Macaca fascicularis: one gene and its partners. The protein of the gene in region 5 purifies or fractionates together with the protein of the main gene of each other region. This does not show direct contact. Links are inferred from orthologs where the notes say so. Each region holds a gene or a part of one and is shown on either strand. Other genes may lie near its edges.

What was found.
Region 1: the proteins of KIF5B (region 5) and KLC4 purify together in Homo sapiens (affinity purification with mass spectrometry; 4 studies listed by BioGRID and IntAct, with this or other methods). This does not show direct contact. The link is inferred for Macaca fascicularis from reciprocal best matches to the Homo sapiens genes KIF5B and KLC4.
Region 2: the proteins of KIF5B (region 5) and KLC3 purify together in Homo sapiens (affinity purification with mass spectrometry; 3 studies listed by BioGRID and IntAct, with this or other methods). This does not show direct contact. The link is inferred for Macaca fascicularis from reciprocal best matches to the Homo sapiens genes KIF5B and KLC3.
Region 3: the proteins of KIF5B (region 5) and KLC2 fractionate together in Homo sapiens (co-fractionation; 7 studies listed by BioGRID and IntAct, with this or other methods). This does not show direct contact. The link is inferred for Macaca fascicularis from reciprocal best matches to the Homo sapiens genes KIF5B and KLC2.
Region 4: the proteins of KIF5B (region 5) and KLC1 purify together in Homo sapiens (co-immunoprecipitation; 11 studies listed by BioGRID and IntAct, counting the BioPlex papers as one, with this or other methods). This does not show direct contact. The link is inferred for Macaca fascicularis from reciprocal best matches to the Homo sapiens genes KIF5B and KLC1.

What each region holds. Positions count from the first base shown.
Region 1 is NC_088378.1:128,465,930-128,471,656, forward strand, and holds part of KLC4 (kinesin light chain 4), read right to left. Parts: intron 4,623-5,727; coding exon 4,392-4,622; intron 1,910-4,391; coding exon 1,828-1,909; intron 602-1,827; coding exon 382-601; intron 1-381.
Region 2 is NC_088393.1:53,399,350-53,405,076, reverse strand, and holds the end of KLC3 (kinesin light chain 3), read right to left. Parts: intron 5,625-5,727; coding exon 5,394-5,624; intron 5,103-5,393; coding exon 5,033-5,102; intron 4,609-5,032; coding exon 4,389-4,608; intron 3,905-4,388; coding exon 3,817-3,904; intron 3,742-3,816; coding exon 3,640-3,741; exon of another isoform or gene 3,343-3,639; intron 3,150-3,342; coding exon 2,976-3,149; intron 2,221-2,975; coding exon 2,130-2,220; intron 2,053-2,129; coding exon 2,015-2,052; intron 1,927-2,014; coding exon 1,820-1,926; intron 1,622-1,819; coding exon 1,558-1,621; intron 1,428-1,557; exon of another isoform or gene 1,316-1,427; coding exon 1,244-1,315; 3' UTR 1,132-1,243; downstream 1-1,131. Other genes in the region: ERCC2 (general transcription and DNA repair factor IIH helicase subunit XPD), read left to right, coding at 1-119, 282-425, 913-1,005. UniProt on the Homo sapiens protein: Kinesin is a microtubule-associated force-producing protein that may play a role in organelle transport. Plays a role during spermiogenesis in the development of the sperm tail midpiece and in the normal function of spermatozoa.
Region 3 is NC_088388.1:8,131,774-8,138,057, reverse strand, and holds the start of KLC2 (kinesin light chain 2), read left to right. Parts: upstream 1-2,569; 5' UTR 2,570-2,623; intron 2,624-2,650; exon of another isoform or gene 2,651-2,826; intron 2,827-3,192; exon of another isoform or gene 3,193-3,338; intron 3,339-3,429; 5' UTR 3,430-3,477; coding exon 3,478-3,705; intron 3,706-3,972; exon of another isoform or gene 3,973-4,094; intron 4,095-6,284. UniProt on the Homo sapiens protein: Kinesin is a microtubule-associated force-producing protein that plays a role in organelle transport. The light chain functions in coupling of cargo to the heavy chain or in the modulation of its ATPase activity.
Region 4 is NC_088381.1:171,854,041-171,859,767, reverse strand, and holds part of KLC1 (kinesin light chain 1), read right to left. Parts: intron 4,727-5,727; coding exon 4,677-4,726; intron 4,594-4,676; coding exon 4,526-4,593; intron 2,880-4,525; coding exon 2,771-2,879; intron 855-2,770; coding exon 693-854; intron 1-692. UniProt on the Homo sapiens protein: Kinesin is a microtubule-associated force-producing protein that may play a role in organelle transport. The light chain may function in coupling of cargo to the heavy chain or in the modulation of its ATPase activity.
Region 5 is NC_088383.1:32,780,082-32,786,357, reverse strand, and holds the start of KIF5B (kinesin-1 heavy chain), read left to right. Parts: upstream 1-2,648; 5' UTR 2,649-3,100; coding exon 3,101-3,226; intron 3,227-6,276. UniProt on the Homo sapiens protein: Microtubule-dependent motor required for normal distribution of mitochondria and lysosomes. Can induce formation of neurite-like membrane protrusions in non-neuronal cells in a ZFYVE27-dependent manner.

The DNA of each region.
Region 1 (5,727 bases), on a different chromosome or scaffold from region 5:
ACATTTAAGGACTGGGGACCTCCATGAGGAGACAGGAAGCCTGGTGTGGACAGTAAGGGGGCTTCACTGACATACCAGAATGCAGGGCACTGCCATCGCAAGAGGAGGCCACAAGTTATAGGAAGTGAGAGGACAGGGGGAAGAGAGGGAGAGAGCACGCCCCAAAAGAGATTAGAGGAACAGTGATCCCAAAGAATGAGCAAATGCTTAGGTATGGGAAAAGTGAGAGTTCTGGCACATTAAGAAGCACCCGAGTGGGGTGTATCTGGGAGGCCCAACAGGCAGGACAGGTACCCTGTAAAGAGGAAAAATGAAAGCCAAAGGAGGACCAAGGTGGGAATGTAGGGGAAGATCTGGGCACTGGAGGAGGGAAGTCCTCACCGATACACCAAAGCAAGGATGTTGAGCATGGTGGCAACATCAGGGTGGCCACGGCCTGATGTGCGCTCCAGGTCCTCCAGTGCCTGCTTACAGAGTGGCACAGCCACCTCATAGCGACCTTGGGCTGCGTACTGGATCACCAGGTTGTGCAACGTCCGCAACCTTGCTGGGATCTCATATCCACCCTGCTGAGCTGCTGCAGTACCTTGACCACGGGACACTAAACCATCACAGAAAATAAACAAAGGACTCTTCCTCTCTCCTTTGCTGTCTGCCCTTCCGTTCCCCATTGCACGTCTTGTTCCATACCTATGCCTGCCCCAACATGGGCTCTCAATATTAGACCTGCCTCAAGCACTATTCTTTTATTCACTCCCTTGACCTGTGCCCATCACAACCTCAGTTATTCACCCAGTAATTCATTCATTCAACAAACATTTATTTAATAAATATGAACCAAGGGATGTCCCAGGAGTACAAAGGTAAGAAAGACCTGGTTCTGGCCAGGTGCAGTGGCTCACGCCTGTAATCCCAGCACTTTGGGAGGCCGAGGCAGGTGGATCATGAGGTCAGGAGTTCGAGACCAGCCTGGCCAATATGGTGAAACCCTGTCTCTACTAAAAATACAAAAATTAGCCGGGTGTGGTGGTGGACACCTGTAGTTTCAGCTACTCGGGAGGCTGAGGCAGGAGAATCACTTGAATCCAGGAGGTGGAGGTTGTAGTGAGCCGAGATTGGCCCACTGCACTCTAGCCTGCGAGACAGATTGAGACTGTCTCAAAAAAAAAAAAAAAAAAAAAAAAAAAAACCTGGTTCTTTCCCTTGAGGGGCTCATGGTCTCCCCATCTCAGGTTTATTCTCCCACTAGACTGTGAACTCCTTACTGGTGAGACCTATGCCATTTCCATCTCAGTACTCCTAGTGCCTAGCACAGTACCTGGCACATACTCAGTGTTTAATACATGTTTGTGGCCGGGCGCGGTGGCTCACGCCTGTAATCCCAGCACTTTGGGAGGCCGAGGCGGGCGGATCACAAGGTCAGGAGATCGAGACCACGGTGAAACCCCGTCTCTACTAAAAATACAAAAAATTAGCCGGGCGCGGTGGCGGGCGCCTGTAGTCCCAGCTACTCAGGAGGCTGAGGCAGGAGAATGGCGGGAACCCAGGAGGCGGAGCTTGCAGTGAGCCGAGATCGCGCCACTGCACTCCAGCCTGGGCGACAGAGCGAGACTCCGTCTCAAAAAAACAAAACAAAACAAAAAAAATACATGTTTGTTCAGTGGAGAGGCTGAGGAAATCGAAGTACTAGCCCAGCCCCTGCCCTGTCTCCAGAAAAAGTGGATAACCTATTTCCAGATGGTGAGTGTCCTGTGTACAGGGTGGGCCACAGCTAGGGCCAGCCTCCTGCTGCCCCTTTTCACCATCCCATTCCCGAGGCAGACTCACAGCCATTGCTGGGGTCCTCTTCCTCCTCATTAGGGAAGAGGTCATCCAGGGAATCCTTGGTGGCATCGCCTTCTTTCTCCTCCTAGAAGGGAAGAAGCAACATTAAGGGCCAAGATATCCCTACCTAGTAGCCTCCTCAGTGACCCCTCTAAGCCATGAAATCACAGACAGATGGGGCATAGGAGAAGACTGTTGTTCCTGTCTCTGCCCCGGAAAGGCTAGCAACTGGCCCAACCAAGCCCAGGCCTCTGGTTTGTAACAGCCAGAGATGCTTTGGACAAAACTTCCCCCTCCTTCTCATACAGAAAGTTTCCTTCCTGGCCGGGTGTGGTGGCTAACGTCTGTAATTCCAACACTTTGGGAGGCCGAGGTGGGCGGATCACCTGAGGTCAGGAGTTCAAGACCATCCTGACCAACATGGAGAAACCCCATCTCTACTAAAAATACAAAATTAGCCAGGCGTGGTAGCGCATGTCTGTAATCCTAGCTACTCGTGAGGCTGAGGCAGGAGAATCGCTTGCACCTGGGAGGCAGAGTTTGCGGTGAGCTGAGATCGCGCCATTGCACTCCAGCCTGGGCAACAAGAGCGAAACTCCGTCTCAAAACAAAAAAAAAAAAAGAAAAAAAAAGATTAAAAAAAGTTTCCTTTCTAACCACCCTCAATCTCTCCTTAACTCTTGTAATTATGGCCCTATGCTGATCTCTGTGTGTTTATGTTGATTATATGTCTGTCCTGTCTCTCCTGAGGGAAGGGAGTATGTCCGATCTTATTGACATGTACCCAAAAAGTGTCTAGCTCAGCCTGGTGCCCATCATCTGCACAGCTCATTCTGGACTTACTGCACAACCCTCCCTCACCGTCTAACCTATTCTGCACCAGGAAAATCTGCTGTTCCCCATCAGGAACTGCAGCCTCATCCAAACACCAACCTTCCTACCCAGCTTCACCAATGTGTCCTGTGCAATCCATCTACTCACTTTCCCTGAGAGAGACCAGCTTTTCCAGGCTGTAAGCCTTATCCATGACACCCTACACTCCAGTCTAAAAAGCTCCTTCCTCTTCCTCATCATGAAATTTCAAAATCCATCTCGAATGGGATGGATCCTAACCCACTGAAATGGGAAATCCAACCTATATCCTACCCATCCCTGTACCCTGCTTCCTCAATTTTTTTGTTAGTTTTTTGAGACAGAGTCTCTGGTCTGGCAACAGCCCAGGCTAGAATGCAGTGGTACAATCACAGCTCACTGCAGCTTCTACCTCCTGGGCTCAAGCAATCCTCCCACCTCAGCCTCCCGAATAGCTGACACTACAGGTGCACACAACCACATCAGGCTAATTTTTTAAATTTTTGTGGAGACGGGGTCTCACTATGTTGCCCAGGCTCCCTGCTTCCTCCATGAATTCTTCTTAGACCATTCCAGCTCTCAGAGACATATCTCCGTGAAATTCTTCCCACACTGACTGAACCACTCATCCAGCACTGAGCACTTGCTGCTTTGTATTTTGTCACATATGTGTTCTCATGGATAAGACTTGTTCCCTACAGATACATCTGAAGAAAACACACTCTCAGCCAGGCACGGTGACTCACACCTGTAATCCCAGCATTTTGGGAGGCTGAGGCAGGCAGATCACTTGAGGCTAGGAGAATGAGACCAGCCTGGCCAACATGGCAAAACTCTCCGTCTCTACTAAAAATACAAAAATTAGCTGGGTGTGGTGGCAGATGCCTGTAATCCTAGCTGCTTGGCTGGCTAAGGCACGAGAATTGCTTGAACGCCAGAGGCGGAGGTTGCAGTGAGCTGAGATGGCATCACTGCACTCTGTTGAATGAGGGTTAAATATCACACATTTTGGGTCAGGCATGGTAGTTCACACCTGTAATCCCAGCACTTTGGGAGGCCCAGGCGGGCAGATAACCAGAGGTCAGGAGTTCAAAACCAGCCTGGCCAACATGGTGAAACCCCATCTCTAGTAAAACTACAAAAATTAGCCAGGTGTGGTGGCAGGCGCCTGCAATTCCAGCTGCTTGGGAGGCTGAAGCAGGAGAATTGCTTGCACCTGAGAGGCAGCGGCTGCCATGACCCAAGATTGCACCATTGCACTCCAGCCTAGGCAACAAGTATGAAACTCCGTCTCAAAAAAAAAAAAAATTCACACATTTTGAAAGCAAATTTTAGGAGGGTCATGCTCAACTGGGCTATGCTTTCCCTAATTGTAGCACGCAGGATTCTGGATTGGAATTGTCCAGGTGTTTGTCTGTCTATTTGTCAAGCTTGTAATTGTGAGAGCAGGAACTGTGTGTGCCCCACTCACCAGTGCAGTGCACAACGCCTGGTACATAGGAGGCATCTCATTACATGTTGACTGAATTAGCTGAATATAGTTTTTCCCCTTGCTGTCACCAGGAGCTGGTGTCAGGGCTGAAAAAGGAATTCTTTCAGGTAAGAGCAGTTTGGGTAGAGCTAATGGACCCTGAGGATGATGAGGCAATTTCCCCCATGTCTGTGGTAACTCCTGGCTGCCCACCCCTTAGCCAGTCTCGCCTGTGAACACTCACCGTGGTGTGTCCATCCTCATCATACTGTCGCAGCTGCCCCAGGAACTCCAGGTGCTTCTTTTCCTCCTCCAGCTGAGCCACAGCCTGTTCACTGCGCTGTAGCCGCTGCTGGGTGCCAGCCAGCTCGTCCCGCAGCCACTGGTTCTCCTGGCATAGCCGCCGCACCTGAGCCCGCAGCTTCTGTTTCTCCGACTCCACTGTGCTCAGGTGGCTGGCTAGAGCCAGCATCACCTAGATGGGCATATCCCCTGAGCTCCAGATTCTGGGTGGGAGTATTCAGGAACAGGTGGAAGGGGAGCCTACTGGGACGTAGCAAGACTGGCAGGTGCACAAAGGAGCCAGAAGGTGGGGGTGTAGCAGTGGCACTACCTTCAAAACATCCTGAATCCAATTTCCCACCACCTCCACTGCCGTCACCCTGGGCAAAGCCACTATCAATTCCTACCCAAATTACTACAATAACTTCCTCACTGGCCTCCTTGTTGCTGCCCTTGTTCTCCTACTGTCTATTCGTAACCCAGCAACCAGATGATGCCAAGTTAGACCACATCACTCCTCTTCTAAAAACATTCCAATAGTTTCCATCTCACTCAAAGTAAAATCAGGGTCAGGCACAGTGGCTCACGCCTGTAATCCCAGCATTTTGGGAGGCCAAGGCGGGTAGATCATGAGGTCAGGAGTTCAAAACCAGCCTGGCCAACATGGTGAAACACCATCTCTACTAAAAATACAAAAATTAGCCGGGTGTGGTGGTGCGCGCCTGTAGTCCCAGCTACTCAGGAGGCTGAGGCAGGAGAATCGCTTGAACCTGGCAGACAGAGGTTGCAGTGAGCCAGGATGGTGCCACTACATTCCAGCCTGGGCAACAGTGCAAGACTCCATCTCAAAAAAAAAAGTAAAATAAAAGTCCTCGGGATGGCCTACAAGTTCCACTTGATCCATCTCCCTCCCCTCATTCACTCTACTGCAGCCATACTGGCCCCTTGCTGTTCACTGACCTCACCAGGCAGACTTCCGTTCAGAGTCTCTGCACTTGCTGCTCTCTCTGATTAGGACGCCCTTCCCCTGTTTAATAGGCATGACTCATTCCCCTCACCTTCACATCTTTGCCAAAATGTCACCTTTTCAAAAAAGGGTGACCTTTTTTGACCACCCTATCTAAAATTATACCCTCTCTCCACAGTCCCTAGTCTCCTTCCCTGCTTTATTTTGGTCCTTTTATCCTTAGCAATTATCATTCTGGCATACCAAATCATTATTTATTTAGGTATTGTCTGTCTTCCCCAGCTAGAAGGTAAGCTCCAAGATGGCAAAGATTTTTACAATTTTGTTCAAT
Region 2 (5,727 bases), on a different chromosome or scaffold from region 5:
AGTTCCAGATTCGTGAGAATGACTTTCTCACCTTCGATGCCATGCGCCACGCGGCCCAGTGTGTGGGTCGGGCCATCCGGGGCAAGACGGACTACGGCCTCATGGTCTTTGCCGACAAGGTGCAGGTTCAGGGGTGCCCCTGTGCTCGCACCCCAGCCTCTGAAAACCAGGCTATTTGCCCGTTCATCTCCCAGATGGGGTGTGTCACAGGGTGGAGGGTGGCCCAGGCTCCCTGATTCGGGTCCTGACGTCCTCTCCCTGGCCTGCACTTCTGCCCACAGCGGTTTGCCCGTGGGGACAAGCGGGGGAAACTGCCCCGCTGGATCCAGGAGCACCTCACAGATGCCAACCTCAACCTGACTGTGGATGAGGGTGTCCAGGTGGCCAAGTACTTCCTGCGGCAGATGGCACAGCCCTTCCACCGGGTGAGGCCTGCATCCCCCTCCCAGCATCCTCCCAGGCTGAGCTCCTCCTCCAGAAAGGCCCCTTGGATTCTCCCCACTCCCCAACCCCAGCCTGTCCTCCTGCCCTCTACAGAGAGAAGTTTATTGTGCATCTGCATGCCAGGCTCTGGGGGGTAGGGGGAGATTCGAGGGGCCACAGATGCCAGCAGGTGGCCCAGGCAAGGCAGGGTGAGAGAATTTGGGGTGAGGAGGTATCAGGCATTGAGACTGTGCTGGCCTGGGGAAAGCCCGTCCTTCTCCGACGCCCTGGCTGGCTCCTCCCTCAGCCCCCTCTTATGTGGACAGGAATGGCCCACTCTGGATTATACTGACATCTCCAAATTCAAACATCCTGGCCCTCACGTCTCAGACCCCTAATGCCCATCGGGGGCGGGTGGTCGGGGAAGTACAGCAGCTGCCTGGGCCCCTTCCTGACAGTGCCCCCCTTACTTTCCTCTGTTCTCTGCAGGAGGATCAGCTGGGCCTGTCCTTGCTCAGCCTGGAGCAGCTGGAATCAGAGGAGACGCTGCAGAGGATAGAGCAGATTGCTCAGCAGCTCTGAGCGGGATGGGCAGGGCCATAAATGATTCCTGGTGACTCCTGAGTCTTGCCTGGCCCTGGGTCCCAGCAGCTCCGAGGCCGTAGCGGGGGTGGTGCTGGAAGGTCTTATAAACTCAGGTGACATTCCTCACTGTCACATCCACGGCCTTTAATCGCAGAAGAGGGCAGGGGGCACCTAAGAGATGATAGACCCCCCCCGCCGTCCCCCACCAGCTGAGGCCAACACAGGTCACTGGATATTAGCGGGGACTCAGGTCCTGGGTGCTGGCGCTGAGGGTCCGAGGGGCCTTGTCCAGGTGCCAGCTGGGGAACTGGAGACAGGCACAGGGGATGGTTGGAGGGGAGGGACAGGTGCTGCGTCCAGCCTGGCAGCCAACCGTCTACCCATCTCACCTCTACCCCAAGTAAAACCCATCTTTGCTCTTGTCCTGGGTCTCTTTTAACACACCCACCACCTGCTGACTCTGACGCCGGCCTGACTGCCCTGCTTTTGCCTTATCTCTGCACCTACCCACGTGGCCCCACTCCATTTTTGACCCCGGTGTCCCCTCACCTGAGTCCCAGGAGCCCTTGGGCCATCCACATTGAGTGTGTTGAGCGACATGGCTCTCTTCATTCTGCGAAGGGGGCAGCAGGGAAGAAGCGAGTGAATCCAGGAGTGGCCCCTCCAGGAGGGAGCTTTCCAGCACAGGATTTGATCTATGTGTATCACAGGGGAGATGGGAGCCATGGAAGGTTCTTGAGCAGGAGGGGTGGGGGGGGGGCTATGAATTCTGCTGATGTCAGGGCTCTTTGCCGACCTGATCCACACTCACCCGGCCGCCCCCGCCGCCCCCTCGCCTCGGAGGCGGGAGACCAGCTTCTCACTTCCTCGCCGGATAGACTCGCGGATCTTAGAGAGGGAGCTGCTGCGGCGAAGGGCCTGGGGAGGGGCAGGGATGCTGCTCATATCCCCGAGCCCATGCAGTCCCCACGCCTTCCCCAGGAGCCGAAGCACAGCCCATCCTCACCTGTTCTGTGTCACCAGCTGTGCCTGTGTTGGGGGCACCTAGGGGAAAGATGGGGGACACCGAGATGGGGACGTAGAGAAGCCACCAGGAGGGAAGGCAGGGGCTCGGGGCTCACCGAGAGGGGCAGGTAGATCCTCCTTGTGGAGGATTTCTTTGTACAGCTCTTCCGCTTGTTGGTACTTGTTCTGTTTCAGGTAGGCTGAGGCCTGCGGAGAAGGGAGTGTCTTGGGTGATCTTGGCTCTAGTCTGGGAACTTTTCGGACCCCAGTTCCCAACACTGCATCCAGTCCCACTTTTTTTCTTTTTTTTTTTTGTAGAGACAGGGTCTTGGTATGTTGCCCAGGCTGGTCGTGAACTCCTGGCCTCAACTGATCCTCCTGCCTTGGCCTCCCAAAGTGCTGGGGTTACAGGCGTGAGCCACCACACCTGGCCCCAGTCCCACTTTCTACTGTGCTGACCTGGCCATATCCCGCCCCTGCCTAAAGCCTTGCCCTGGGGCAGAGGGGGTTTGGAGCTCCGCCCTACCTCCTGCCTGGGGGATGGAGGGCAGGCAACCTCCTGTTTCTGAGCCTGTCTGCTCTACTTTGGGCTGGTGGCATGGCCTCTCTTCTCACATGCAAAGTAGAGCGACAGCTTCTACCTCATAGGGACACTGTAAGAACTAGTGATGTGGGGACAGAGCTAAGAGGGGAGCCGGCCACAGTGAGCTCAATAAATGTCTGCTGCTGCCATCTGTGCCTGCCAGCTTCCCCTTCACTGACTGTCCTGGGTGCCGTGGACTCACGCATTTCCTGATTCCGTGTTCTGTGCTGAGCCAGCTCCTGTGTCCGATAGGACACTTGCTCCAAGGGCCCTGCCTCAGGGGGACCCCTCCCCATGGTGCTCGCCCTGTACCCAACCAATGGGTGCCTCCCCAGGGCAGACCCTCCACTCTGGGCCCACTCAGCCCCAGGGACCTCACCAGATTGTTCTTGGTCTTGGCCACGTTGGGATCATGGGGCCCGCCCAGGGCCTCATAGATGCTCAGGGCCCGGGCGTAGTGCCGTTCCACGTCCTCAAACTTGCCCTGGTTCTGGCACAGCAGGGCCAGGTTGTTGAGCTGCTTGGCCACATCGGGGTGGTCAGCACCTAGGACCTGGGGGCCAGGGGTCACAAGTCAGAGGGGTCATACAGGATTGGTGGGACACGTGACATCACTTCTGTATGGTGGTCACAAGTTAGGGATTACAGGGCCAAAGCAGAGTGACCTGAGAGGTTGGGGGCTGGGGCACAAGTGACACCGTCGAGCGGGATTACTGAGGTCAGAGGCCAAGGTGATCCAGAAACACGGGGCACAAGGTGAGATGGGTAGGTCAGGGCTGGGCTTGTGCCAGTGGCCATGAGGGGTTGGAAAGGCTGTGGCGGGACCTAGTTGGGGGGTGGCGTGTGAGGTAAGGCAAGAGGTCAGAGTCAGGGTCAAGACCAAACTGGGATCTCAGAAGGTCGAGGGTGATGGGTTGGGCTCCAATTGGGGTCTCCCAGTACCAAACGCAAGGGGCCCGAGGATCAGGGTCACGATGTAAGTGCTCAGGATCCATGGAGAGGGCTACAAGGGGTTCCTCGGGGTTGGGTAAGGGGGATGGGACCTTCTCTCGGATCTCCAAAGCGCGCTGGCACAGGGGCTCTGCCTCCCGGTAACGCCCGCGCTTCCCATAGAGGACGGCCAAGTTGTTGAGCGTGGCGGCCACCTGTGGGGTTGGGGGAGACACAGGTCAGGGATGGGCAGGCACGGCCCCACTTCGTCTCCCTGGGTCCCCACTCACCGCAGGGTGCTCAGGGCCCAGCGTCTGCTCCCGGATCTGCAGGGCATCATGGAGGAGCTCTGTGGCTTCTTTGTACTTGTTCTGGTCCCTGTGTGGAAGCCCAGGGATGGCGGGGGTTGGCCGGGGGTTGGGGCAGCTACAGCCACAGGGTCTGGGCTAATTCTGGCAGGTCCAGGGAACCTGGCTGAAGCAAGCATGGGTAGCACCCTTTGGGGGCCTTTTATGGGCCCTTACATACCTTCCAATTCTCTAACACCAGGCCCTGTATCCCCAGACCTCTGCCAAGCTTCTAACCACCCCAGTTCTCTTGCCTACTCTTGGGGTCCCTGGTGTCTGTGCTCTGACTCCTCTCTGCCTGGCTCAGTGCCCCGCCAACCCGCCAGATCCCTGGCCCACTCCCTCTTTGCCGTTCTTACAGCAGGAGCCTTCCCTTCCTTTCCCATTCTGGCTGTCCCCTCCTCCAACCTCCCCAGGTGCTCCATGGTGGCAGAGGGGACACCAGGGTCCCTCCACTTGCACCCAATGGGTCCCTGCCGTTCCTGCCCCCTGCCATGGCCGGCCGCAGCTCTCACCGGTATACCAGCGCCAGGATGTTGAGCATGGTGGCCACGTCAGGGTGGCAGTGGCCCGAGCTGCGCTCCAGGTCCTCCAAGGCCTGGCGGCACAGGGGCACCGCCACCTCATACCGGCCCTGCCCCGCGTACTGGATCACGAGGTTATGCAGGGTCCGAAGGCGGGCAGGGATCTCATAGCCACCCTGCTGAGCTGCTGCTGCTCCTGCGGCCTCAGGACCTGGGTGGGGCAGGGTGGGCTCTAGGTCACTGCAAGCCTCCTAAACCTCCTGCCCCTCCATCCTCGCACGAGGAGACACACGCCCCAGACTGCCTAACTGGCCCCTGGGACTATGGGCCCCCATGTTAACTTCTGAGATTGGAGTCACTAGCATCTAACCAGCTGGTGGGATGCATCCTGGCCTCGGGACAGGTACATGGCAGCTCACTTGCCCTGCAAGATGTGAATACGGGGCCTGCCGGGCTCATGGCAGCTACCCTGTCTTCGCAGCTCCCAGCCTCACCTGCTCACTGTCACATTCAGGGTCCTCCTGACCCTGCCCTCACCTCTCCATCCCTGTTCAGAGACTTTGGGGTTCTGCAGCTCAGAGCCCACTCCCCACCCTGGCCCGCCATCATCTGTGGCATGTACTCCGGATACCCACCTTTCCTCTCCTCCTCCTCGCTGGGGAACAAGGAGGCCAGGCTGTCTCGGCGAGGCGGGGACTCAGACTGCTGCAGGGACAGGATAGTGGGGGGCCGGGGGAGGGGGGCTTGTTTCAGGGACTGGAGCCCTGCATCTATCTCGGGGTTTGAGGGAGGTGGTGATCATGAGCGTCAGGGGCCCCCTGGGGGACTGGCGAGGCCCGGGGGCTTCGGGGAGCAGCTAGTGGGGGCGTCTGCGGAAGTTCTGGTGGGTCTGGGGGCTCTGTGGAGGGTTGGGGGACTGGGATTCTAAGGAGGGTCTGGGGAACCGTGGGGCTCTGTGAAGGGCCCAGCACCCCCACCTTGCCCTGCCCGTGGCACCTGGGTCTCCGTGGGCGGGTCGTACTGTCGCAGCTGCCCCAGGAACTCCAGGTGGCGCTTTTCCTCCTCCAACTGGGCCACGGCCTCCTCGCTGGCACGAAGCCGCCGCTGTGTCTCCTCCAGTTCCTCCCGCAGCCACACGTTCTCCTGGGCCAGCCGCCGGGCCTGCGAGCGCAGCCGCTGCTTCTCTGCCTCCAGTGCACCCACGTGTGCCGACAAGGCCAGCAGCACCTGCCCAGGGTGTGGGTCCCAAGTCGAGGTTGGTTCCTACCCTGCCAGACAGCCTCTGACCCAGCTCAGACCTTGAATCAGGCCGCTGCACCCCACTACTATG
Region 3 (6,284 bases), on a different chromosome or scaffold from region 5:
AAAGTGCTGGGATTACAGGTGTGAGCCACTGAGCCCAGCCCAACCAATGGCAATGTATCTGGGAAATAAGGCCAATGTGATGGCTGAAGGACCACAGGTCCCAAATGCAGAAGACCCCAATCTCAGGGGCTCTGGAGGAAAACTGACCAGCTGAAATGAACAAGGATAAACACAAGCTCAGCACTGATGCAAATAACATAATCAATGGACATAAGACACAACAGAAGGTGTGCTTCTGAAGAGGGGAGCTGGATGGCTGAGGACAGCAGTCACAGGGATAACTACATTTCATTGTAACTTGCTTGTATGCCTTTTTTTTAAGTTGTTTTTTTTTTTTTTTTTTGAGACGAGTCTGTCTCTGTCACCCAGGCTGGAGTGTAGTGGTGCCATCTCAGCTCACTGCGGCCTGCGCCTCCTGGGTTCAAGCGATTCTCCTGCCTCAGCCTCCTCAGTAGCTGGGACTACAGGTGTGCACCACCAGGCACAGGTAATTTTTGTATTTTTGGTAGAGACAGGATTTCACTGTGTTGGTAAAGCTGGTCTCAAACTCCTGACCTCAGATGATCCACCTGCCTCAGCCTCCCAAAGTGCTGGGATTACAGGTGTGAGCCACTGAGCCTGGCCTTTGTATGTCTTTTGAATGTTGCACAAATGAAAGTATTAGCTATCCAGAAAAAATCATGCCAGTCACGGTGTCTCATGCCTGTAATCCCAGCACTTTGGGAGGCCAAGATGGAGGACCACTTGAGACCAGCCTGGGCAACATATCAAGACCCTGTCTCTAAGAAAATAAATTGGGAAAAAAAAAAAAAAAGCCAGGTGTAGTGGCATGCACTTGTAGTCCTAGCTTCTTGGGGGGCTATGATGGGAAGATTTCGTGAGCCCAGGAGTTTGAGGTTACAGGCTAGGCCAAGGCCAAGGTGGGTGGATTACCGGAGGTCAGGAGTTTGAGACCAGCCTGGCCAACATGGTGAAACCCCGTATCCAAAAATACAAAAAATCAGCGAGGTGTGGTGGTGTGTGGTATAATCCCAGCTACTGGGGAGGCTGAGGCAGGAGAATCGCTTGAACCCTGGAGGTGGAGGTTGCAGGGAGCCAAGATCGTGCCATTGCACTCCAGCCTGGGAGACAGACTCCATCTCAAAAAGAAAACAAAGAAGTTTGAGGTTACAGTGAGCTATGATCACACCACTGCACGCCAGCTTGGACGATAAAGTAAGAACCTTTTTTTATAAAGTATTTTATAAAGTAAGAATCTTTTTTTTTTTTTTTTTTTTTTTTTTTTTTTTTGAGACGGAGTCTCCCTCTGTCGCCCAGAGTGCGGGGGCGCGATCTCGGCTCACTGCAAGCTCCGCCTCCTGGGTTCAAGCGATTCTCCTGCCTCAGCCTCCCAAGTAGCTGGGACTACAGGCTCCAGCCACCACGTCCAGCTAATTTTTTGTATTTTTTAGTAGAGACGGGGTTTCACCGTGTTAGCCAGGATGGTCTCTATCTCCTGACCTCGTGATCCGCCCGCCTCAGCCTCCCGAAGTGCTGGGGCTACAGGCGTGAGCCACCGCGCCTGGACCAGAACCTCTCTTAAAAAAAATCATTGGCAGAGAACAGGTTTGAGAAGAACCTGGTTGGATGTAACTGAGATGTGTAAAATAGAGGGTCTTCACTTGTGTAAAAGGCAGCCTGGTTTGCGGCTTTTTTTGTGGACAGGTGGCATCCTGGGGGTACCGTCCCTCTGATCTGCGCAGTTCATTCCTCGTCTCTGATCACTGGGCCCTGGGCTGAGCACCACCTTCTGAGCAGGACCGACAAGCTAGACTACACCCAGAAAGGAGAAATTGGGATGGGGAAGGGTCAGGAAACTGCGGTAGGACTGAGCGAAAGGACCAGGAGCAGCCCGGGGAAGAGATGAGACCACGCGGGGCACCATCGCTGTCTCCAAATACCTTAACCGACATAAGGGAGCAGCTTTCTTTCTGAAGACAGAGCTAGGGCTGTGGATGAGCACTGCAGGAAGGCACTTCGAGGTCTATACAAGGAAAATTTTGCTAACCTTTGGAGTTGTCTCAGAGCCGAACGTAGTAAGCTCCCTGTCACCGGATGTGCTTGAGCTAAGGGCGCTGAACCACCTCTGTCAGAGATGGTGCGTCCCCCACCAGATGTGACCCCGGGATGCGAAGCCCGGGGTCAGATCTGCGAGCCAGGTAACAGCGGCATTCACTTCTCGGGTCTTCGTGAGCATTAAGTCAATGAACCCAGGGCACCAAGGCGCGCAACACGCAGTAGGCGCTCAATTAGTGGCAAATGCCTCGCTCTGTACTCCGGGAAGCCCAACCTTCTCCCTGCGCCTCAGTTTCTCCCGCCGTCCTCGATGGCGCCACACTAGGTACCTTAGGGTTCAATCTCCCGAGCAGCTCCACACCCTGAGGACCCGGGCCATTTTGAGGCCGAGGGCACCCCTCGGGGCTGGCGGGCCCCTGGAAACTGCGCCCCGGGCGGGTCCTCGCCCCGCCCCCGCCTCGATGGCCCCGCCCCGTCCCCCTCCCGCTGGAGCCGGCCCGGCCCGCGCTCCTTTAAGGCAGCGAGCTGGCCGTGAGAAGCGTGTTTCGCCCCCTCCGACGCCACCGAGGTAGCGGCTTCACCTTTAAGGCGGCGCGGGGGCTGCTGGGAAGGCCGGCGGGATGGAGGCGGCGGGACCGGCTCGCGGCTGTGGGTCCGGGTGAAGCGGGAGGCAGCCGGAGCCGGAGCCGGGCCCGAGCACCAGGCGCAGGTCGGCGCGGGCCGATTGGGCCGGGAGACGGGATCAGGCCCTAAAGCAGGGGGAGGCTCCAGGTCGGCCTAGGGGAGGGGGTCGTCGTGGGCGCGGCCTGTGGGAGGATCCGACCAGCCCTGGTAGGGGGCGCGGTCCCGGGTGGCCCAGGGCAGGGGCGCGGCCTTTTTAGGGGAGGCCGCAGGACGTTGCGCTGGCCCAGGGGAGGGGTCGTAGTGGGCACAACCTGGAAGGACTGAGGGCCGCGGTCTCAGCCCCTGTAGGGAGATGGCCTCCGCAGGGTCGGCCCGTCGGGAGGATGGGCTCCGCGGCGTGGCCTGCCGGTTGGGGATGGGGCTGTCCGAGGGGCTGGGCCCGGATCGCCGGAGGGACCAGGGTCTCCTGCACAGGAGAGAGCCCCCACGTTCCCCATACCTGCCCTGGTTAGGGGGTCCCCGGGGAAACCCGGACACTGGGCCGCCTAAGTCGGCCTAAGCCGGTGGTCTGGGGCCGAAGCAGGGTCCGGCCGCACCGCATTGCGTCTCCCTGGCCAAGACGAGCCGGGCGCGCCCTCTGTAGGCCAAGCGTGGGCAAGGTACGGGTTGCAGGCTGGGGGACCTGGGCACACGGGACCAGGCGTCCGGGGACCGCCTGTGTTTACCTAATCTGGGGCGGTGTGGCCCCAGGCCCGGCGCCCGCCTGCCCGCACCCTCGTCCTCACAGACGCCACAACCATGGCCATGATGGTGCTTCCGCGGGAGGAGAAGCTGAGCCAGGATGAGATCGTGCTGGGCACCAAGGCCGTCATCCAGGGACTGGAGACTCTGCGTGGGGAGCATCGTGCCCTGCTGGCTCCTCTGGTTGCGCCTGAGGCCAGCGAAGCCGAGCCTGGCTCGCAGGAGCGCTGCATCCTCCTGCGTCGCTCCCTGGAAGCCATTGAGCTTGGGCTGGGGGAGGCCCAGGTAGGTCAGTCTAGGGTACTGAGGTGGGATCGAGCCTTCCAGAGAAATCCAGTAATCTAGGAGAAGAATATGAGCAAGGAATCTTCTGTTTCCTGGAGCCCCGTGTTAGGACCCCAGTAAATACCTTTTGAAGAAATAAATGCACTTTGGCGACCCCAGCCCTGCCCTAAGAGACCATGATCACCCTCGCCCCCACGCAGAGCCCCATTCCCAGCTCCCCTCTACCTAAGGGAGACTGGATGGCATATGAGAACAGAAAGAAAATCCTTAAGGAAACACAGCCTCCCACCGATTTATTCTTCTATTCATTCGTTAACAGATGAGTTTTTCAGTGCCAGCCAGGCCGTTAGGTGGATACAGGACCCAACAAAATAGACAGGATTCCTGCCCTATTTGGAAAAGAGACAAAAGCACACATAAGGAAATAATTGGTTGTTACAAATTGTGATGAGTTCTACAAAGAAAAGAACAAGATTTTATGATAGCTCACAGCAGTGAGTCTTGTCTACTGGTCAGGCAGGATTTCTATGAGGAAATGACAAACTGAAACCTGAGGGAAGAAATGAACCAGTCTCCAGGAAAGGGAGGCAGGGGAGAAGTTGCATGTGCAAAGGTCCTGGGGTAGGAGTTGTGGTGGAGGAACTCGGGGAAGAACTGTGTGACTGGAGCTTCATGGAAGGGAGAGAGGGACAGAAGAGGCCTGGGGAGAAGCCAAGAGCCAGATCATGGCCTCGTTAGTGTGGGTTTTATCCTCAGGAAGTCAGAAAGCCTCTGGAGGGCTTTAAGCAGACAGGCAACACAGTCTGACTTGAATTTCTAAAAACTCTCTCTGGCTGAGATGTGGAGAATAAATCTCAGTGGGTCGAGGATGCAATCACTCTCCAGTGAGTGGTTAGGAAGCCACTGCTGGAATTCAAATCAGAGCTGGTGCTTGGAATTAAGGGGTGGCTATGATGGTGGAGAAAAGGGACCAGTTCTGGATGTTCTGGAGGTAGGTCCAGGAAGACCCAGGGTGGAATAAGGGAGAGAGAGGAAGGCAGCATCACTCCCAGGTTTGTGATTTAAGCACATTAGGGAGGAGAGGGCCTGGGTGGATCAGAACTCTGTTTTGGCCCCCTTTAGTTGAGGCTGCCAGGATGATATGCAATTGGAGATGTCCAGGAGCCATTGGGATGTGCAAGGAGTTAGACTTGTTTTATTCTCCTCAGAGCTTGGCTGAACCCCTGCCTGGCACATGAACCCTGGGGAGGTTGTATCATCTTGGTTTCCTTTTCTTTAAAATAGGGATCATGCCATCTGCTGTGTATACTTCCAGGCTGTTGGAGGAATTTTTTTTTTTAAGCTAGTGGTTATGGAAACACCTGTCACTTAGGCATTTGCTAACCAACTGTAAAGTACAGGGTCTCAGACGGCCTGGCCCTCTGCAAGGACATTCACTCCTCTGCCAGTTGGCCATCACAGGCAGAGAGGACCAGTCAGGGGTCCCACACCTGGTGGAGCACATGCACTCTCACAGAGGGGGAACAGTCTGCATGGAGGGCATGGGCATCAAGGCCATGAGTGAAACTGGAGCAGAGTGGGAGGTGTGACTAGCTGGAGACACCACTGCAGAAATGACCCTGGACCGTGAAGGACCAGGAAAGGGTGGAGGCCAGGTGTGGTGGCTCACGCCTGTAATTCCAGCACTTTGGGAGGCCCAGGTAGGAAGATTGCTTAAATCCAGGAGTTCATGAGACCCCGTATCTATGAAAAAATTTTTTATTTTCATTTATTTATATTTGAGACAGAGTCTCACTGTGTTACCCAGGCTGCAGTATAGTGGTGCAGTGTCCGTTCACTGCAGCTTCCACCTCCCAGGTTCAAGCGATTCTTCTGCCTCAACCTCTTGACTAGCTGGGACTACAGGCACACACCACCACACCCAGCTAATTTTTGTATTTTTAGTAGAGATGGGGTTTCACCATGTTGGCCAGGATGGTCTCAATCTTCTGACCTCATGATCTGCCCACCTCAGCCTCCCGAAGTGCTAGGATTACAGGCGTGAGCCACCGCACCTGGCCAAAATTTTTTTTAAATTAGCCAGGTGTGGTGGTGTGCACCCATAGTCCCAGTTACTCAGGAGGCTGAGGTGGAAGGACCACTTGGGCCTGGAAGGTGGAAGCTGCAGTGAGCTGTGATGGTGCCATAGCCCTTCAGCCCAGGTGACAGAGTGAGACATTGTCTCAAATTAAAAAAAAAAAAAAGAGAGAGAGAGCAAGAAGGGAGGTTGGAACCTAGGCAGGAACGCAGGAAGAGACTGGAAACTCAGGAAAGGAGTTATAGAGGCTGGGGAGAGGGGTGGGGGTTGAGGCCAAGGCCTCTGGATACTTTTCCTGCCCCTGTGGTTCCTCACGCCAGCTGAGCATTTGGGATACATGCCCCTTCCCTACCTGGGAGCTGCAGAAAGGCAGGGGATGCTGTGGCCCCCTCAGCAGAAGTGGGGATGGAGTCTTTGGGTGGCCCTTCAGCCATCTAGCAGAGTTCTGTGAGCAAGCACTAGCCCTGGGGCAGGGAGCAGTAACCTCGTGGCTGTGGCAGCA
Region 4 (5,727 bases), on a different chromosome or scaffold from region 5:
ACTGGAGAAAAAATGTCCAGAAGGCCACACGGTCTTTGGCAACCACTGGATAAACAGCAGTGGTGAGGAATTTCCAGGGGCAAACCAGTAAAACCTAGAGGGGCCTGTGCAGCCTCTCAGGCACATGGGGGCTGGCAACCATGAAGAGCCCCAAAGATCTGGACACCCTCTCAGGTGAAATGCAGGACGCGCAGGACATCAAGAGAGCAGCCACCTAAGCTCTTGGTTCTGACCCGTTTTCTAAAAACAAATTCTACTTACACAGCATCTCCCTTTAAAGCATTTCAACTCATTCTAACAAAATCTAGAGCAGCCTGGTCAGTGAAGTTAGGAGCACTGGAGTTAGCAATGAAATGGGTGAGTTAAAGAAGCAAGTTAGTTACCTGCCACACTGATCCTGATATTAAAATGAAACCAGAGAGGGATCATGCTTTAAATAGCCAGGACACTCAATCAGCATTTAAGTGCTCAAAGTTAAGCCAAACAGCTTTCATGGATTCCTGAGAAGAAAATTACCACTTTAAACAAATAACAGACTTAAGTATTAGCAGAAGTAAAGAACTTACAGAAAGCTTAATTGGCACTTAATTTGACAAAAGCAGAAGGTCTAGCACATGAGACAGGAGGAAGGCCTGGCAAGCGCCACTTGGGGGCGCCTCCCGGAGCACGTGCCCGCTGTGTACTGTACTTACCCCGTTCCACTCTACGCTCATACTCACTTCCTCCCCTCCGTCAGGGCCACTCTCGTACTTGACCACGTCCACGTTGAGGCTCTCACGGCTCCTGCGCTTCTCCATGTTCTCAGGGTCATTGAGCACTTCCGCCACCCTCTGTTTGTGAACATTGTCAAGACCCTGTGAGCCAGGCAAGGGAAAATGGTTGGACCCATTAGCACTTCAGATTTTCTTAAGTATTTCTGAGATACTTGGCTAGAAAACAAAATACCAGTTCTTAATCACTGGAGGGAAAAAAACTGGAACAGTGGTTCCTTGGAGCGGGTGAGGGTGGAGGCGGGAAACTGGAGAGAAACACAAAGGACCCCTTAGGGGAACAGTGACGGGGCTTGGGTTGCACAGGGTGTGTGTCCATGTTCAATCATTCTGGGTCTGTATCTAGGACTGGAACAGCTGGGCCATGTGGTTTTCTAAGTTTAACTTTTAGATAAGCCATCAAACTTCTCCAGTGCCTGCACCATTTTACATTCCCACCAGCAAGAAGACATGAGAGTTCCAGCCTCTCCGCATCCTCACCAACACCTGTTATTTTCCATTTGTTCTCTTTTTTATTATAGCCAGTCTAGTGGGGATGAGGTAGTATCTCGCTGTGACTTCAGTTACTATTTCTATAATGACTAAAGATGTTGAGTGTCTTTTCATGTGATTGTTGACCATCTGTCTATCATCTTCAGGAAAATGTCTATTCAGGTCCTGTGCTCATTTTTTAATTGGGTTGCCTTTTTTTCTGGATACCAAAACCTTATGAGATACATCATTTGCAAATATCTTCCCCCATTGCATGGGTGTCCTTTCACTTTTTCTTTTTCTTTTTTTCCTTTGAGACAGGGTCTCTCTCTGTTGCCCAGACTGGAGTGCAGTGGTATCATCTAAGCTCACTGTAACCTCCACCTCCCGGGTTCAAGCGATCCTCCCACCTCAGACTACCAAATAGCTGGGACCACAGGCATGGGCCAACACACTTGGCTAATTTTTTTAAAAAATTTTTGTAGAGACATAGTATCACTATGTTGCCCAGGTTGGTTTCGAACTCCTGAGCTCAAGGGATTCCCCCCACCTCAGCCTGCCAAAGTGCAGGAATTACAGGTGCTCACCACCACGCCCAGCCCCTTTCACTTTCTTGATGATGTCCTTAGATGCACAATAGTTTTTAACTTTGGTGAATCCAACAGATCTAGTTACCTAGTTTTTATTTTGCTGTTCATGCTTTTGGGGTCATATTCATGTTATTTTATTTTATTTTAATTTAATTTACTTTTTGAGACGGAGTCTCGGTCTGTTGCCCAGGCTGGAGTGCAGTGGCGTGATCTTGGCTCACTGCAACGTCTGCCTCCTGAGTTCAAGCAACTCTCCTGCCTCAGCCTCTCGAGTAGCTGGGACTACAGGCTTGTGCCACTGCACTGTATTTTTAGTAGAGATGGGGTTTTGCCATGCTAGCCAGGCTGGTCTCAAACTCCTGACCACCGGTGATCTGCCCACGTTGGCCTCCCCAAAGTGCTGGGATTCAGGTGTGAGCCACTGCGCCCAGTCTCACGCCTTTGGTGTTTTTTTTGTTTTTTTTTTGCTTTTTTTTGTTTTTTTTTCAATTGAGACGGAGTCTCATTCTGTCACCCAGGCGGCTGGAGTGCAGTGGCGTGATCTCGGCTCACTGCAGCCTCCACCTCCCAGGTTCAAGCGATTCTGCTGTCTCAGCCTCCCGAGTAGCTGGGATTACAGGATTACAGGCATGTGCCACACCACGCCAGGCTAATTTTTATATTTTTAGTAGGGACAGGGTTTCACCATGTTGGCCAGGCTGGTCTCGAACTCCTGACCTCAGGTGATCTGCCCACGTTGGCCTCCCAAAGTGCTGGGATTACAGGTGTGAACCACTGTGCCCGGCTTCACGCTCTTTTAAACAATATAACTTTATTTGTTCAAACTAAAATAATCAACATTTTCTATTTCTAAATCAAGTTTTCAACAAAAGTCATGTAAAAGAGAACCATTAAATTCAAAGTTCCCAAGGGCCGGTTAAGGACAGAAGTATGACTGACCTGTTTACGAGACCTCATGGCAGCTTCTTCTAATGTTTCTGCAGCTTCAAATTTGCCTTGACGTCTGTAAAGTGCCCCAAGGTTTTTTAGAGTGGTTGTAACAGTTGGACTGTAAGAAAGCACATGACATATAGAACTGTGACATATAAGCTGTGAACAACCACTATCAACAGCACATAATCTAAAGGACTGACAGATTTATGTTTTGGCTTGACTATATTTTAACTTTCTCTTGTACTTTTTTGAAACTGTAAAATTATGAAGAGTTCTTCCTTCTCAAGTAGCTCTGCCTCCTATAACCCTGGCCCTTCCTGTACACAGCCCCCTCAGGCCAGGCTAACACCATACCCCATCCAGGCTGAGGCGGCTCTCACAGACCACTGGCCACTCTGTCAACAGAAACTTCCGGGCCAGGTCTGTGTGGTGATCAGCATGCTTTCCCTGGAGACACCTTGGTCCGCACTGGCAATAATGACAAACAGTGCTCTGCATGGTGCTGCTCACGTGCTCCCGTCTCCCTCAAGTACAGGGGAGAAGAGAGCAAAGCAGACCCTCCCTATCAGTGGGGTGTGAGGGCAGAGGATAAATGCTTCATGTACCAGGGAAGCAATAAGCAGATGGCCGAGAGGACGGCTGTGTTTCTGTGTTCTTTTTTATTTTTCAAACTGTATAATTAGGCTTGATGTTTCTGCATTCTTGATAGAGCAGACTTATTTTAAAAAATTATAAATAAACCTAGATTCATTTTAGCATAGATAAGTACTTCGAGAGATTTCTGTTCACTTTCTTACAATAGGCATTTTGGGTACAGAAATAAGCTATTTTCTATGTCTCTGAAACAAGTAATCTATGGTAAGTGTTATGGGAGCCCTGGAGAGGGTTCCGAGAGTTTTCTGAAAATAGATGAATGGTAGGCTGAGTCTCAAAGGATGAGGAAAGTTAAGAGTGGAAAGACACGGTGGCTCACGCCTATAATCCCAGCACTCTGGGAGGCCAAGGTGGGTGGATCACCTGAGGTCAGGAGTTCAAAACCACCCTGGCCAACATGGTGAAACTCTGTCCCTACTAAAAATACAAAAATTAGCCGGGCATGGTGGCAGGCGCCTGTAGTCCCAGCTACTCAGGAGGCTGAGGCAGGAGAATCGCTTGAACCTGGGAGGTGGAGATTGCAGTAAGCCAAGATCGCGCCATTGCACTCCAGCCTGGGTGACAACAACGAAACTCCGTCTCAAAAAAAAAAAAAAAAAAGAGCGGAAAGGCAGTAAAACAGGTGAGCCACCTGGACCCAGGTACGGCAGCCATCACAGACGGCAGTCAGCACAGGCTCAGGCCCAAGAGGCAAGGCTCTAGGGCTGGCCATGGAGGGGCCTACACTTCCCTCTGCAGAGGACAAGGCCCCATGGGCCATGAGGAAAAGAAGCGTGTGTGGATCTGTGTCTCCAGTGCTGTGTGTGAGGGGCTGGCCTTCCCAGGCCCGCTGGCACGCTTGTCATGAATTTGCTGTATGGTTTCTACCATTAAATGTAAAAGTAAGGCAATTACCTTTGCACCAGCCTAATATGATGGTGGGTTTTATACATGTAAATGATCTCATTTACAAAGTTAGTGGGGTTTTTTACATTGGAATTTGGGAAAAACATGGGACTGTGCACTTAAGGAACACTATACATCGGTCATTTATAAGCTGCCCTGTAGAACACAATTACCTTCCCCCTGCTTTTCAGTTTTTCCAGCCAAACGCGATTCCAGACATACCTATCAACTTTGCAGGCTTTGTACCAGCCGCCATACTCTCCAAAAGACGTCCCATCCTTTTGCTTTCCCTAAATTACAACAAATAATTTCAAATGAATATCCTGAATGCAGGATATACAATTTAGAAAATCTCAAAATAATACATTCTTACTTTGCATTCTTCTCTTTCTTCAGCATGCATCCAGATGGGTTTATTTTCATCTAGGGAAGAAAACACAGCATACAGGTTGAGCATCGCTAATCCAAAACTCCAAAATCTGAACTGCTCTAAGGGGAATTTCCTTTGAGGGTCAAGTCAGCACTCGAAAAGTTTCAAATGTTGGAGCACTTTGGGTAATGGATACTTAACTTGTACTACAAATGAAGGATAACAGAGCCTGCTAAGTAAAACAGAAGTCATTAAGCCTCGGTGGCTGCTTTTTTTTGTTTTGTTTTGTTTTAAGATGGAGTCTCACTCTGTTGCCCAGGCTGGAGTGCAGTGGTGTGCTCTCGCCTCACTGCAACCTCCACCTCCTGGGTTCAAGCGACTCTCCTGCCTCAGCCTCTGAAGTAGCTGGGATTATAGGCGCCCGCCACCACGCCCAGCTAATTTTTTTGTATTTTTAGTAGAGATGGGGTTTCGCCATGTTGGCCAGGCTGGTCTCAAACTCCTGACTTCAAGTGATCCACCTGCCTCAGCCTCCCTAAGTGTTAGGATTACAGGCGTGAGCCACCACGCCCAGCCTGTTTTCTTTTTTATACGATCCTTGTTAGATACTACTACTTACAGCATGGACAGATTAAGTTCACACTGCAGGAAAAAGTCTATGGAAGACAGAGCTGGACACCAAGCAACAGGTTAAGACACAGGGTGCAGAATCAATGTTCTGAGACAGGTGATCAACTGTGAAGACACCCCAACAAATGCTAGGACCCTGTAACGTAACCGCTAAAATGTTAGCTGCTCAAGTAGCACAAGGGAGTATTCAGAATGTGAGCGCTAAACAAAAGCATTAAACAATAGTCTAAGAAAAAGTAGTAAGATGTTGGTAGCAAAAGTAGAAAAGATATAAATCAAGGCTGGGCGCAGTGGCTCACACCTGTAATCCCAGCACTTTGGGGGACTGAGGCAGGAGGATGACCTGAGGTCAAGAGTTCGAGACCAGCCTAACATGGTGAAACTTGTCTCTACTAAAAATACAAAAATTAGCCAGGTGTGGTGA
Region 5 (6,276 bases):
CTCGTGATCCGCCCGTCTCGGCCTCCCAAAGTGCTGGGATTACAGGCTTGAGCCACCGCGCCCGGCCAGGTTTCATTGTTGTTTTAAAGATAGGGTGGCTGAGCGTATTTGTTTCCCTTTTTTCTCCAGGGAAGCCAAGAAAAGGGAGAAATCAAAGATGGAATAAGACGGTGGCCATTGGTAAGATCCAGGTATTGGACAAAGTTGGAAAGAATTTTGAATGCAACTGAGAAATTAGTTTTTGAGAGGGAGAGTGCTGACTTTTTCTGCAATTGTAGATAAGGATGACAGGATATAGATATGATGAAGGAACCAGGTAAAGAATACTAGGACTGAAAGAGTGACAAAGTAAGACTCTACCTTCATTGATTAGACTGGACTAACAGACAGAGTGTAAAGCCAGCTGAAAGGTAAGCAGAAAAGAGTATTTCTCTTAAGGACATATTACATTTATAAAGTGTCACACAAACTCCTTCTTTGAGTTACCTAATTTTTTTTTTTTTTTTTTTGAGACAGGGTCTTGCTGTGTTACCCAGACTGGAGTGTAGTGGCATGACCATAGCTCAGTGTAGCCTTGGCTCCTAGGCTCAAGCGATCCTCCTGCCTCAGCCTCTGTAGTAGCTAGGACTGCAGGCACTCACCACCATGCCCGGCTAATTTTATTATTTTGTAGAGACAAGGTCTCTCTATGTTGCCCAGGTTGGTTTTAAACTCCTGGCTTCAAGCAATCCCCCTGCCTCAGCCTCCCAAAGTTCTGGGATTACAAGCACGAGCCATCATGCCTGGCCTACGGATTTCTTACTGAGAAAACCGATTCTACAAAGATCATAGACTATTAGAAACTGTTGCTTGAAATTATATCAGTAAGAATAAAACATTCCACTCTTACTTGGAGGACCTAAGACACAGAGAAGCAGCCTTGACTTCCAAGCCAGGTGAAGAGCTTTGGAAAAAGGGGTTTCTGAAGACAACCCTTCCCATCCATCTTAACTTTAGTATTCAAAGAAACAGAACCTGGGGTCCACTGTAGTCCAGACCTGATTTTTGTTTGTTTGTTTTTTTGAGATGTAGTTTCGCTCTCCTTGCCCAGGCTGGAGTGCAACCTCAGCCTCCCGGGTTCAAGTGATTCTCCTGCCTCAGCCTCCCGAATAGCTGGGATTACAGGCATGCACCATCATGCCCAGCTGCTTTTGTATTTTTAGTAGAGACAGGGTTTCTCCATGTTGGTCAGGCTGCTCTCAAACTCCCGACCTCAGGTAACCCGCCTGCCTCAGCCTCCCAAAGTGCTGGGATTACAGGCGTGAGCCACCACCCCTGGCCAGATCTGATGTTAATGCCTTTACTTGCAGCTCTGCCTTGCTTGGGGCCTCTCAAAACACTGCTTCATTGAAATGTTATCAGAACTCCACACCTCCCAGAAAGCCCCGGGTTAATTCCATCTATTCTTTTGTTTGGTGAGATGCTCTAAGGTTCCTTGAGCTTGAGCTCTTCTTCAAGGCAGTGGATTAATAAACCTGAATCTGTTGAACTCTGAATTGGTTTCTGGAGGTATTAGGATGATTGGGTGAGCACAGGGAGCCCTGGAGGTTTTCATAGTTCAATCCTTCGTTTTACAAACAGAAATTGGGGACCGGGGGAGGAGGTGTTACTGCAGTTCTTCCGCAGCACCTCAGAGCCACTTCCTCAGATCCACTTCCCCGTGGAATTTTTTGGTACTCATCTTCTAAAACTAGAAGGCAAAATCAGCTATGGAGTGGTTTTCCTTGGATATGTAATGCACAAATTTACCTAGGCCTTTTATAAAGACCATCTTTATGCTCCAGGTCAGTCATTCCTCCAGTATTGGGATTGATGAGTTCCGTATGTTCATTGCCGGCGAAGTGGCGGGAATTCGCTGAACTGCGTGGGGGCGGCGAGGGTGCGGGCTGGATACAAGGCACTGGGCAGATGAAGTGACAGAGATGCTGTGTGAGGGGGGCTGAGGGCGCTTCCCCCTCCTCACCCTGCTGTTCCACATTTCTTCAGCAACCTTCTTCATTCCTCAGGAAAATTTTCCTTTTTCTTTCTTATTCCTGTCTCCCTACATCCCACTCTCAGGAAAGAGTTACCCTTCATTGAAATCTTACTTTTTCTGGCAATGCGCTCTAAAAAGGTAGACCAGGAATGATTCCCGCCGCCAGAAAAAAATGAAAGCAACACTTCCTTTTAGGAATATAGTACTTTATGTTTTTAATTTTAAAGCTGGTCAAGTGACACAGCGGGAGTGGAGAAGAAACAAATCTCTGGCTGTCATCAACTAGTTGCAAACACCACCGCACCCGGACCAGCCTAGTGATTTATTTAAACAAACCACATTAAGTAGTTAAAGCAAACCCTTTCTCCCCCAAAGAAAAGAAAGCTAAGTACGTCTGCCTTAGCTCTGGGGGATTCTTCGGCGGCTGGGGATGGCGACTGGGAGCTGCCGCCCTGCGTCCCCAGGCACTTCTGCGAGACGGTCAGTGCTGTAAAATTTGAATCTGCGACTCCTGGCCAGGAGTGGTGGCGGAACCGGCGGCGCGGCAGCAGCGACCGGCTGCGAGCTCGGGCACGGATTGGTCGCCGTGCCTCCCGGCCCACCGCGCCGGCGCACTCCTCCACCCGCGCCGCCCAGTCGCCCAACGGCGGCCTCAAGAGTGATAGGGCAGCAGCCGGCCAGCCGGCCAGCGGACAGCGGAGCGGAGCGGGCGGACGGGTAGGCCCGATCTGCTCTTTGCGAGGAGGAAGAAGGTGGCCACTCTCCCGGCCCCCAGAACCTCCCCAGCCTCCGCAGCACGCCCAGGCCGTCGAGGGCGTCGCTGAGGAGCCGCCGACGCTCTCCCCGGTGCCGCCGCCGCCATGGCTGCCATGATGGATCGGAAGTGAGCCTTAGGGTAACGGCTGCCGGCGCCGGCTCTTCGAGTCCCGGCTCCCCGGCCGCCTCCGCCCGGGGAAGCGCTGCGCTGCGCAGCTGACTGCTGCCTCTCACGGCCCTAGCGACCCCAGGCCCTTAGCCCCGTCGCGCTCCCCGCAAGACTAAGCAGCCGGGAGTGGCTCCCGGCCGCCGGCCCCGGCTGCGAGAAAGATGGCGGACCTGGCCGAGTGCAACATCAAAGTGATGTGTCGCTTCAGACCTCTCAACGAGTCTGAGGTGAACCGCGGCGACAAGTACGTCGCCAAGTTTCAGGGAGAAGACACGGTCGTGATCGCGGTGAGTGACCCCCTCCGGCACCCCTCCTTCCGCTTCTTCGGGCCGGGCTGTGCAGAGAGTTTAGGGAAGTGGCAGGGTGCAGAATTGAAAGGGAGCAGCGGTGTCCCCAGCAATCCCCGGCGGGGTTTGCCGGTTCAGATAACCCAGTGGAGGAAGACTGCGCAGCTTCGCGTGCGTTCCGGGATCGCCCCCACCCCGGTCTTTGGCGCCGGGAGACGGGAGGCGCCCAGCCTCAGCCCTGGACACTCCCCCACCTGCGGCAACGGAGGAACGTCCGGGGAGCAATTTCAGTGCACGTTTGTCTGCGTTTCTGTGTGTGCAATTACGGATATTGGTGTTTTGGATTAACCCCAAATTTGCCATTCAGAAAATATGTAATGCTTATATAAAGTTCAGCTGGGGACATTGAGCTGTGAGACAAGCCGTATTATGCTTTAGTAAAGATACTTAGTTTTATAGAAACATAACCAGTCCTTGAACCGTGTTGTTTCCCCCTGGGAGAAGGAAAAAGCACCAAACAGCTACAAATATTATGTACACCTCAAACTTTCACCCACCACTTTTTGAGTGGTGAATGACTTTTCATGTTAACAATTACAAATGGTAAATGGATGATTGTAGAAAGAAATAGTTGAGCTTTTTTTTTTTTTTTTAATAAATCGGAATGATCAATTTTGTTTAATCTAGCAGACCTAGCCGACTTTGGTTGAGTCAGATAAGTGCTCCGAAAGACAAATCGCACTCTTGCTAGGTTTTATGGGATAACAGCCTAGGAAAAAGTATCAGCTTTTTGTTTTTATATCAAAGTATTATAAAAACAAGCTTATAAAAAAGATAAAAATTGACCAGTATTAGATTCATACTTCTGCAATTAAGGTCTATCTTGAAGAAAATTGATCTTTGGTAATCCCAAGAATAGTGAGATACTGTTTTTTTGTAATGTAAAACATAACTAGAGTTGAGTGATCATTTGAGACCAAAATGTGAGGGTGTTTTAAGGTCTGATCTCTGGCATTGAAAGGTCTGAGAAAATAGCACTCCTAGTTGAAGGAGATTAAAAATTAATTGTAAAGTATGGCATACGAAACAGTGAACTGTGACTAAATTATGTTCATCTTTCTTGGCAATGCTATGTAGTAGAACTAACTTTCTACATTGTTACCGTAGTATGAAATTTTAATATGTTAATTTTTCCTCTAATGTCATTCTGTAGTTAATAATTGTATGGGGCTATTTAATTTGGAAATAGGGCAGAGGTCACAGGAGATGGGACAAGGATGATTGAAAGCATTGACACTGAAGACAGACTAAAGTTCTTTAGGGTTTTGATGTGAAAGTTTCTCCAAAGTTCAGCTCCGAAAAATGAATGTCTTAGCTCCTTGGTAGGCCTTTGGCAAACAAGTCATTAGGCCACTAACAACTGCCAACTATTACTGTGTAAAGATTGTCAGGCCAGTTCTTTGTTAACAAGTGCACAAGAAAACCTCTTGTGTAAATGACATCATAGGTTGGCAGAGGCGGAGTAGGAGTAGTTAAGCGCAGTAATCCTTTTCCTTTAGGATGGTATATTTTACATATAGTCTGGAGGCTTGCAAGGCCTAGATTAGTTGTCACACTTGAGGCCATTAGTTTCTTAAGAGTTTTTGTAATTTACAGTACTCAGCTTCAGCAGTGGTTGGCACATAACAAACCTATTTTTCCTTTTACACTTGTCTTAAGAATGTCTTATTTCTTCAGATTTTGTGTTTACACAGATCTGTAGTTATCACTATGATTCTTTTTGTTGGAATGCTAAAATTTAGGATTCATAAAATGTATTAAGATTAGAAGGTAACCTTTGATGAGGCCCAGATATGACATAAACTATGAAGAAAGAACTAAAGGAAAATGAATAAAGGAAACATACATTTATTCTAGGTTTCCATTGGGAAAAAGTTGCTTATAAGTTCTGTTTCAAAATTTCAGTACTCTATATAAACGGTAATATTAGGAATAAATGTATAGGTTGTTGGTTTGTGAATCCATAATGAACAGTTAACCTTTAGGTAAACTGATAAGCATTTTAGTTGTTTTTTGGTTGGTTGATTTTTTTTTTGAGATTTTTTTGAGTTGAGTTTTGCTCTTGTTGCCCAGGCTGGAGTGCAGTGGGGTGATGTCAGCACACTGCAACCTCCGCCTCCCAAGTTCAAGCGACTCTACTGCTTCAGCTGCCTGATTAGCTGGGATTACAGGCACGTGCCACCACGCCCAGCTAATTTTTGTATTTTTAGCAGAGATGGGTTTCACCATGTTGGCCAGGGTGGTCTAGAACTCCTGACCTCAGGTGATCCACGTGCCTCGGCCTCCCAAAGTGCTGGGATCACAGGTGTGGGCCACTGTGCCTGGCCTGTTTTTGTTTGTTTGTTTGTTTGTTTTAAGTGTAAGCAAAAATACAACTAAATAACAGCTTTAAAAAATGAAAGGCAACATGTTTTGGTTCATTGTTTTCAGAAATAGTTTCTTGCCTATAGTAACGACATTAATTACTGAAGTCTCATTTTTGTTCAGTTTTTTAAATGAATTATTTCATTTTGTAAATGGTTATAAGAGCAGCCAGGAGGAGCGGAATTAGAAAATCTCTGGGTAAAATCTTCTCGGTTTATTTTTTTCATTTTACTGGTTTCTAATCCTGATTCGTAATGAACAGTTTAGGAGAGAATTGCTGCAATGCAGCATTTAAAACTCAATTCTTTAAAACGTGATTTAAGAACATTTTGTACACAATCTTCTATTTAGATCAAAATTGAAAGAGTAGTTTATGATGTTAGAAGCATAATCAGTGCTCATGGAGAAAGTAATTTTTAAGGATTCTGATTTTTCTTCTAACTTCAGTTTTTAATACTTTGTCTAAACTTTTTTCCTGCTACTCATGTAATCAGTGATTTTAATAGGACACCATGGCAGGCAAATCTTTCAATTTCATAGTGTTTCTCTGTATGCTGTACAGCCTTTAATACAGAATTTATTTTTAATTAAGTGCTTGGTGAAGTGTTATAAATGTAACATTGAAT